Linked DNA regions of Drosophila melanogaster. The protein of the gene in region 2 interacts with the protein of the main gene of each other region in a pairwise test. Each region holds a gene or a part of one and is shown on either strand. Other genes may lie near its edges.

The links.
Region 1: the proteins of Ntmt (region 2) and Art8 interact in a two-hybrid assay, tested with the Drosophila melanogaster proteins (2 studies listed by BioGRID).

The regions. Positions count from the first base shown.
Region 1 is NT_033779.5:11,009,265-11,013,097, forward strand, and holds Art8 (arginine methyltransferase 8), read right to left. Parts: upstream 1,823-3,833; 5' UTR 1,729-1,822; coding exon 1,690-1,728; intron 1,658-1,689; exon of another isoform or gene 1,634-1,657; coding exon 647-1,633; 3' UTR 557-646; downstream 1-556. Other genes in the region: Nup154 (nucleoporin 154kD), read left to right, coding at 1-113, 179-301, 363-495; dUTPase (deoxyuridine triphosphatase), read left to right, coding at 2,177-2,743.
Region 2 is NT_033778.4:9,863,388-9,867,313, reverse strand, and holds Ntmt (N-terminal methyltransferase), read right to left. Parts: upstream 1,683-3,926; 5' UTR 1,611-1,682; coding exon 780-1,610; 3' UTR 263-779; downstream 1-262. Other genes in the region: peo (pendolino), read left to right, coding at 1,805-1,890, 1,960-2,024, 2,087-2,190, 2,245-2,724; CG30010 (uncharacterized protein), read right to left, coding at 2,797-3,297, 3,351-3,497. UniProt on the Drosophila melanogaster protein: Alpha-N-methyltransferase that methylates the N-terminus of target proteins containing the N-terminal motif [Ala/Pro/Ser]-Pro-Lys when the initiator Met is cleaved.

The DNA.
Region 1 (3,833 bases), on a different chromosome or scaffold from region 2:
ATAAGGGAACTGGAAGTTAAAGCCTGCCAACTGCGATTTCCCGAGGGCATAGTGCCGGAAAAACTGGTGAGTATGAATTTGGACATTGAACTGCTCCTGGAATACTATTCGAGGTACGTATTGAAGGGTTTTCGCAGAGATAAAATTGTTTAAAGGCTAAACTTTTAAAAACTTTCAGAATGATTTCAATGAACGAACGAGTGTGGGCCAACGAGGGTAATGAGTGGCATTTAATACAATCCGTCATACGAGTGGTCTCGCTTCTGGCAGACAACGCACAATCTATTTGGTACCGGTCAAAGTAAGTGCAAAAGTAAAATGCTAGCCGATACGATTTACTTACATTCACATTTAACTTGCAGACGACGAATTGTTGGCAAGGCTCAAGACATAGTGGCCGGCTGCCTGAATATTTGCTACCAAAAGCCCGACACTAATCGTCTTCAACATTCACTCAAGGAACTTCAGAGTCAGCTGCAGCGGTTGTTGATTTAAAGCCGTCGGCCTGCGTTATTTTAATTAAATTTTTGAAAGTGCTGGACTAGACGTTAAGTTTGACTGAGATATATATTGTATTTGTATTAAACATGTTAAATAAATTGATTTCCCCACAGATCGTTGTTCGGATTCCGAGATGGCATGTAACTCATGAGGTGTCCATCATTTTTAGATGAGCTTCCGTCAGAATGCACTTCGTCATGTGACAGGAGCAAGGCACTGGATGCTCCTCTGTGTTGGGGTCTAGCAAATCCACCTCCAGATTGTATTTACGCATATCGGCAGCACTGCGCTTCATTGTGATTTGAAATGCAATGGGTGACTTCTCCTCCAGATTTTCGCAGGATTCCTCGGGCAGGACGACTACACACTGCTTCCAATGCGTTGGCGGGGATAGCGGCGATGTGCTTAGAACAAAATCTTCGCCAGGAAACTGTACATCGAACCAAATGCAGAAGCCCTGGTGATTGCCCGCCTTCTGGGCTGTTATTACCTCCTTGAACTGAATGCTGTCCAAATCGCTGGCTTCCACATCCAGCAGATTCATCCAGTGAAAGACGACGCCCTCGTGCAGAAGATCTTGCGGATTCAGCTGTGTAATCTCCGGTCGGGATGACTTTTGGGTTCTGAGTTTTCTGGCAAACGTGTCCATTTTGATGCCGTCCACGTTGTGCCAATCATCGAAGAGCGATGGTACCGAGCAGGGTGCCACGAAAATTGTGCACTCGCTGGGGAACAGGAGTCCACCCTCCTTGAGGAACTTGTCCCGGGCCAGGAGAACCGAGTCCAACATGCCCTCGTGCAGCAGGTAGAAGCCCATCCACTCGGACACAATGATGTCCACCTTTTCCGCCTCGGCAGGCAGTACGAATTCCTCAACACGCGACTGGATCACCTTCACCACGTTCGTCAGGCCGTTATCCTCAATCAAATCCAGCGCAACTTTGGTGGCCACATTGGATGCTTCTACGGCGTAGACCAAACGGGCTCCTGCTTTCGCACAAAAGGCGGACAGAATCCCTGTGCCGGCACCAACATCCATTACGATCTTGTCCTTGAACAGATCCTTATTCCCCAATATCGCATTGTAGTAGGCTTCTTGCCGAGGACGATCCTTCAGCATGAGCTCGTGGATCTGTAGTTTGGTCACTATGAGTACAGTTTCACAAGAAGATCTATAATCTTATTTACCTCCAAGTTTTCATACTCATCGAAATAAGTGTTCGCCATGATTTAAAGTTGCAGTTATCAACACATTAACATTAACGCATCAAGTGAATTTTTCAAAACAACGTGCTAAATAGAGGTGTGTTAATCAACTACAATAGTATCGATATATCGATAGGGTTGCTTATCAGGGTTGGTTGTGATTGGTCGTTTTACTTAATAAAATCAATTTGATTTATTTATTAATGCCTAAATTATTGTTTTATTTATTATTTGTTTAATTAAACTCAAGGCATAGTTGTATATATGTTTTTTAGAAATGCAAAGCTGACTTAAGATTTTTTGGTAGATTTTCGGCGATTTGTACTTTTGGTATCTTGCAACACTGGAAGTCCGCCAATTTTCCGACGCTGTGTTAAACCGCGTTATTTTCAGACCAGAATTCTGCAAGTAAGCTGAAAAAAGTCTCTGTACTTTCGAAGCATTCCTGTAATAACTCAATTTGCTCCAAATGCCATCAACCGATTTCGCCGACATTCCAGCTGCCAAGAAGATGAAGATCGACACGTGCGTCCTGCGATTCGCCAAACTCACCGAGAATGCTTTGGAGCCGGTGAGGGGATCCGCCAAAGCGGCGGGAGTTGACCTGCGCAGCGCCTACGACGTTGTGGTGCCGGCACGCGGAAAGGCCATTGTCAAGACCGATCTGCAAGTGCAGGTTCCGGAGGGCTCCTACGGACGCGTAGCCCCACGATCCGGGCTGGCGGTGAAGAACTTCATTGATGTGGGCGCCGGTGTGGTGGACGAGGATTATCGCGGCAATCTCGGCGTCGTCCTGTTCAATCACTCAGATGTTGATTTCGAGGTGAAGCATGGCGACCGCATCGCCCAGTTCATTTGCGAGCGTATCTTCTATCCGCAACTGGTGATGGTGGACAAACTGGAGGACACCGAGCGCGGCGAGGCAGGATTCGGTTCCACCGGAGTCAAGGATCTGCCGGCAGCCAAGGCGCAGAACGGCAACGGAGAAAAGGCTGCCGAACCGGAGGGAGCTGCTCCGGCTCCTGTTGCTACGTAAACGAGGAACTATTGCCGCATTCTTAATCCCTTCATGGTCACTATCAAAGAGTTTCATTCTGTATCCTTAAGTGAAATATGTTAATGTATTGGTATATTTTTATCTATTAAAACCGCAAATCTACGAAGAAATGTTTCCCATAGTGTCATTAGATTGACTGGTGGATGGTGGATCACTAGATTTCCTGGATATGCATTGCATACTTTTGGCATGTTATTTCTAAAAGGCTTTTATTTTTCTTTATTTAAAAAATTTGTGTTAGGTTTTTCAGGCAGCTTAAACAATTATTCCTCACTTATGAGGTAACTGGTAAATAACTTATATCCTTTGAATACTTTTTTATGCACGCAATTTCTGAGCTAAATATTTATATCGATTTTCATCAAGCCAACCAATTTTAACTAAATGTCTTTACTAAGGACCTTTTACTAAAATGTATCAGGAGTAATGTTATCGAAACATACATAAATTATTTACAATTCATTTCCATATTTAGGCAATGAATGGGATGTGTCTTCATTTTGGCTTTTTCAAAAAATTGCACTGACCATCCATCCAGAATTATGGATCTAGTTTAAGGTTAATATACATACATATGTACAGCTGTAACTTGTATTGCATATTTAAGTAGGCATGAAGGGCCGCGAAAGGTTAACGCTTGGTGCTAACTATATTCTAGTAACTAGAAGTACTTACTTCCAACGGAGTATGTATACAAACCGCTTTAGATCTTCATAAAAAAGGAGTTTGCTGAACAGAAGTCGAGCAATTATGTTTCTGCAAGAGGAAGCCGACTTGGCTTTATGGGTTTTCAAGTGGCTAGGGATACTTGAACCAACCGGACAGGCGCAGTGAGTTATGACCGAGTAATGAGAGCCAAGAAGCGCCAACCGGCGATGGCCCACAATATCAGTTTGCGTGTCTCAAGTGCATTGCTGCACAATTTACGCGGCCGATTTTAATAAATTCAATGACTCCAATTTGTAATTAGACGCTGGAAGGTGCGCTGCGTGCTTTTAATTGTTTTGCAGCCATCCTTGGTTGCCTTTTGGCGCAACGGTTCCGCTTGACCCGCGACGCATCGAGCGCT
Region 2 (3,926 bases):
CAGCCTCTTTAAAAGTATGCTTTTAAAAATAGTTTCTGAACCCAACGTAAAAATTTGGAAAAGAACTGAATATGGCTCTTAATTCCTAAATGCAAAAATAGTAATAATAATAAAGAAACTCATTTACAAACTTTTTATCAACTTTTGCATGTTTAAGTTTTGTCCTTAGGATTTTTAATATCCTTCTGAAAATATTTGTTATGCCCCAAATTCTCCCTTTATTTGAATTTTATTTTTGACGTAATTATATATTTTAATTGTAATTTTCTTTTTGACGTAATTATATACCTAAAAAACTTTTCAAGTAATCTTGTTTCCAGGCAAAAGATTGAGCTTATGATCAATCCGCTGTCGCCAGATCTTCAAGACTAACATTTATGGAGATAAGGAAATCCATTTGAATTGAGAAAAGAGAATTGCTAATAGCACTATGAGAATTAATTTAAAATTGGCAAATGGGGACTTAAGGAAGCAGATTTTTCTACTACTAACGAATTTGTTGGCATTCTATACTATTGCGAGGTCGCGTGGTTGATAAAAATATTATTTTTGTGTAAACATAATTTAGTAATAATTGTGTTTTTCTTGTTTATATCCCGTGAATAAAGCACTTTGAAGGCATCAATTAAGGAACGTGTTCAAGCTTTTGTAAGCTTGTTTATTCGTTGATTAGAACGCTACAATTTGAAGTGACTAGCTAGTAATGTGACATTAAATTTTTCGGATAACTTTAGTACAATCGCTTGTAGGTCAACAGTAAAACTAACTAAATACTAAACCTATTCCTTGGAGACGGGTTTGCAGGCTATCATGTACACTGGAAAGAGTCCCTTGGGAAAGTTTTGTTGCTTGACCTTGCGTACAATGCGAAATCCGGCTTCCTTTAGGAAGTGTTCATAGCTGTCCAGAGGCCTCGTTACCGACGAGTCGTTCCTATCTTCCACTGTCTTCTTCGAGCTGCTCACGTTCTCCTTCAGACACAAGAAGGCGCCGGGCGCCAGTCCCTGCTTTATGCGTCGAAAGAACGAGACCAGATCGCGGTCCGTGAGATGGCCCAGGACCCACTGGGTCCAAACGAGGTCGTACTGTTGCGTAGGCGTAAACTTCTGCAATCCCACGTTATAGATCTGTCCCACCTTTCCACGGCTTCCGTCTTCCGAAGTGCAGTACTCCCGTGCTTTATCGGCAAACGCGGGATCCTGCTCGACAAGATCCACGCAGCTGAAGCGGGGGATCAGGAGATTCCGAGTCACCCGACCAATGCCAGCTCCGCAGTCGAGGGCCAACCTGTTGCCCGGCACGCGGATCTCGCGCAGGAACACATTCGATCCCTGTATATCTATGGCACTAATGTAGCCCAGGCCGCCGAGCATCCCGTTAACAGTCGCCGGTACCTCAGACCAATATTTTTGTGCCTTATTGTAAAATTCGGACTCCGGTGCGGCGACTTTGGTCGAACTATCGCTCGAAGAAGGGGACGCTGTCTTGGCATCTGAACTTGCGGCTATACTGCTATCATCCTTCTGCTTCGACGACCCCTGGACCTTATCCGTGGTCTCGTCCATCATCTGCAACTTGTCTGAAAGCTGCTCTTCTAATGTAGTCGTCATTTTTGTCAGGATTTCGAAGGCCGCATGCTTTGTTTTGTTTTAGTGCGATAACCAGGGCTCCTAAACACAGTGAGCCATTTAGGTTTTACGAAAGAGTGGCAACCCTTCACCAATCAGCTGTTCAACAAGCAACAAAATTGTCCGTTTGTTTATGTTACTAGTTTTTTGTTTAATTTTTCTATTGTCCGGACAAAATGACTCTCGATTTGGATGCGCATAAGAAAGATGACAAGTTGCTGATCACAACCATACAGCAGGAGTATAAAATTCTGGCCGAATAGTGAGTTTTCAGAGTTCACTGATAACTACGTGGAGTAAAACTAAACTTATTTAATTTCTTATGTTTTAGCAAAATGATTGAGTCGGAGAAGTTGAGTGGGATATATGTGATACCCAGCTATGCTAACTCCTTGCGTTAGTCTACCCACCTGCCAACCTGTATGCAGTCTTTAGCTAATTTTATCTTTTGTTAATAGAGTGGTTTGGAGTCTTCTTTGGCCGACAGGGCTTGTATGCGGAAAGTGTTTTTCGATTCACAATTTTGCTCCCAGATCGTTTTCCCGACGACAAAAGTCTTCCGGTGAGTAGGATCGGCAATAGAGCAAACGTATTTAACTCTACAAGTCCCCTTTAGAGCATAATTTTCCAGCAGGATGTGATTCATCCCCATGTGTGCCCGTACACCCACAGTTTGGACGTGAGCCACGCCTTCCCGGAGTGGCGCTGTGGAGAGGATCACCTTTGGCAGCTTTTAAAGTACCTGCAAGTCATTTTCTCCGATCCCTTGGACAGTATTCGGGGCATTGAGGTAGATAAGCTCAAAAACAGCGAGGCTGCGGAGCTGCTGATGAATAACAAGGAGGAGTATGTTGCTCGCGTACAGGAAAATATCAAGGAGAGCAAGGAGCATATATTTGACACCCCACCCACCGAAGATCCGCACTACATAGTATTCGAGAAGTTCCAGCAGGACGTGCACGGGCCCGTTCTGGAGCGCATCAAGGCCGGAAGAAGCAAGCTGACGGAGCCTTCAGCGCAACAAGCAAATGGTGGACATGCAACTGGTCTGTCATGGGTTAAGGAGGGCGAGTTTAAGCCACTTAGCATTGAGTAAAACCAATATACATATATTCTGTAAGTTATATTCTATCGTTGTCTCAATTTTAAAACGATTAAAGTTATTCAATTATTTACAATCCTCGTTCATGGGAAATCGCTGAGTATTGTTAACCCACTCGTTCTGCAACTCTAAACGTTCTCCGTTCCATTGGAAATGTGTGGGGGAAGCCTCGCCAGCGAGAAACTCAAAGTGCTGGCTGAGCTCGATGGCCAGTTTGGAGCGGACTAGGCCTATTCCGCCCACCTGTGGCGCAGCTGGATGATAGACCCTTCCGTTTCGCGGATCCATGTACAGTTTGTGGGGTTCGTAAGGCAGGGTAAGGACCTGTCCCGCGTGTGCATAGCTGAGCACCTCCGTATCGTCCTTCCTCAGCTGTTCAGTAAACACAACAGGTGTGTCATCGCACCTAATAAAATTCCTTTCGCGGCCACAGAGGGAAATGTATGGAAATTCGCTTTCATATCTGCTCGTTTTGTTTAGCCGCAGTCGGTTGAAAAAGAACTTGAGGAAATCCTTCTCCTTAAAGCAGCTGGTGAAGTTTTTCATCTTTGCATCGTCCAGGAAGAGCTGCAAAACGGGTTATGCGAGTTGAAGCACAGATGCATAGTTGAGAGTCTCACCATTCCCTCATGATCGATATAGTAAAAGTATTCGCGAATTTTTGGCTCCGGAGATTGACCTTGGTTATATTGTACGTAACGGCAAGATATGCTTGGAGATCTAACGAATTTTAGGTTTGTAAGGGATCTAGAACGTAGTATAAACATTGTTCCTCTATCTGAGTACTGTGTCTTCTTATGAGCAACAAAAACAGCTGACTTTTGTTTACTACATCTGTAGGTGCATTTGATAACCTCCCATTATCAATTTAACGTTTTTACAGTTTTGTATTTTCTCAATAGGTAGCGATTATTTTTGCAAGTACATTTTTTGGCAGTCACATATTTTTGCATCGCGAATACAGCGATATACAGAAATGAAAACATTTTATTTAAAAAAAGGTGGCTATGTGACTGTCTATTGAATTCGACATTTGGTCGAAAAGCTCAGGTTTTGCTTAAAATAGCAAAGTGAAAACTACCAAAAAGTATGCTAAGCTTTTATTTAATGAAATATCCGTTAAAAATTTAAAACACAGTTTGGTTTAATTAGTAGTAAATCGTGCAAAATTATAAATAATTTTGAAAATAATAATT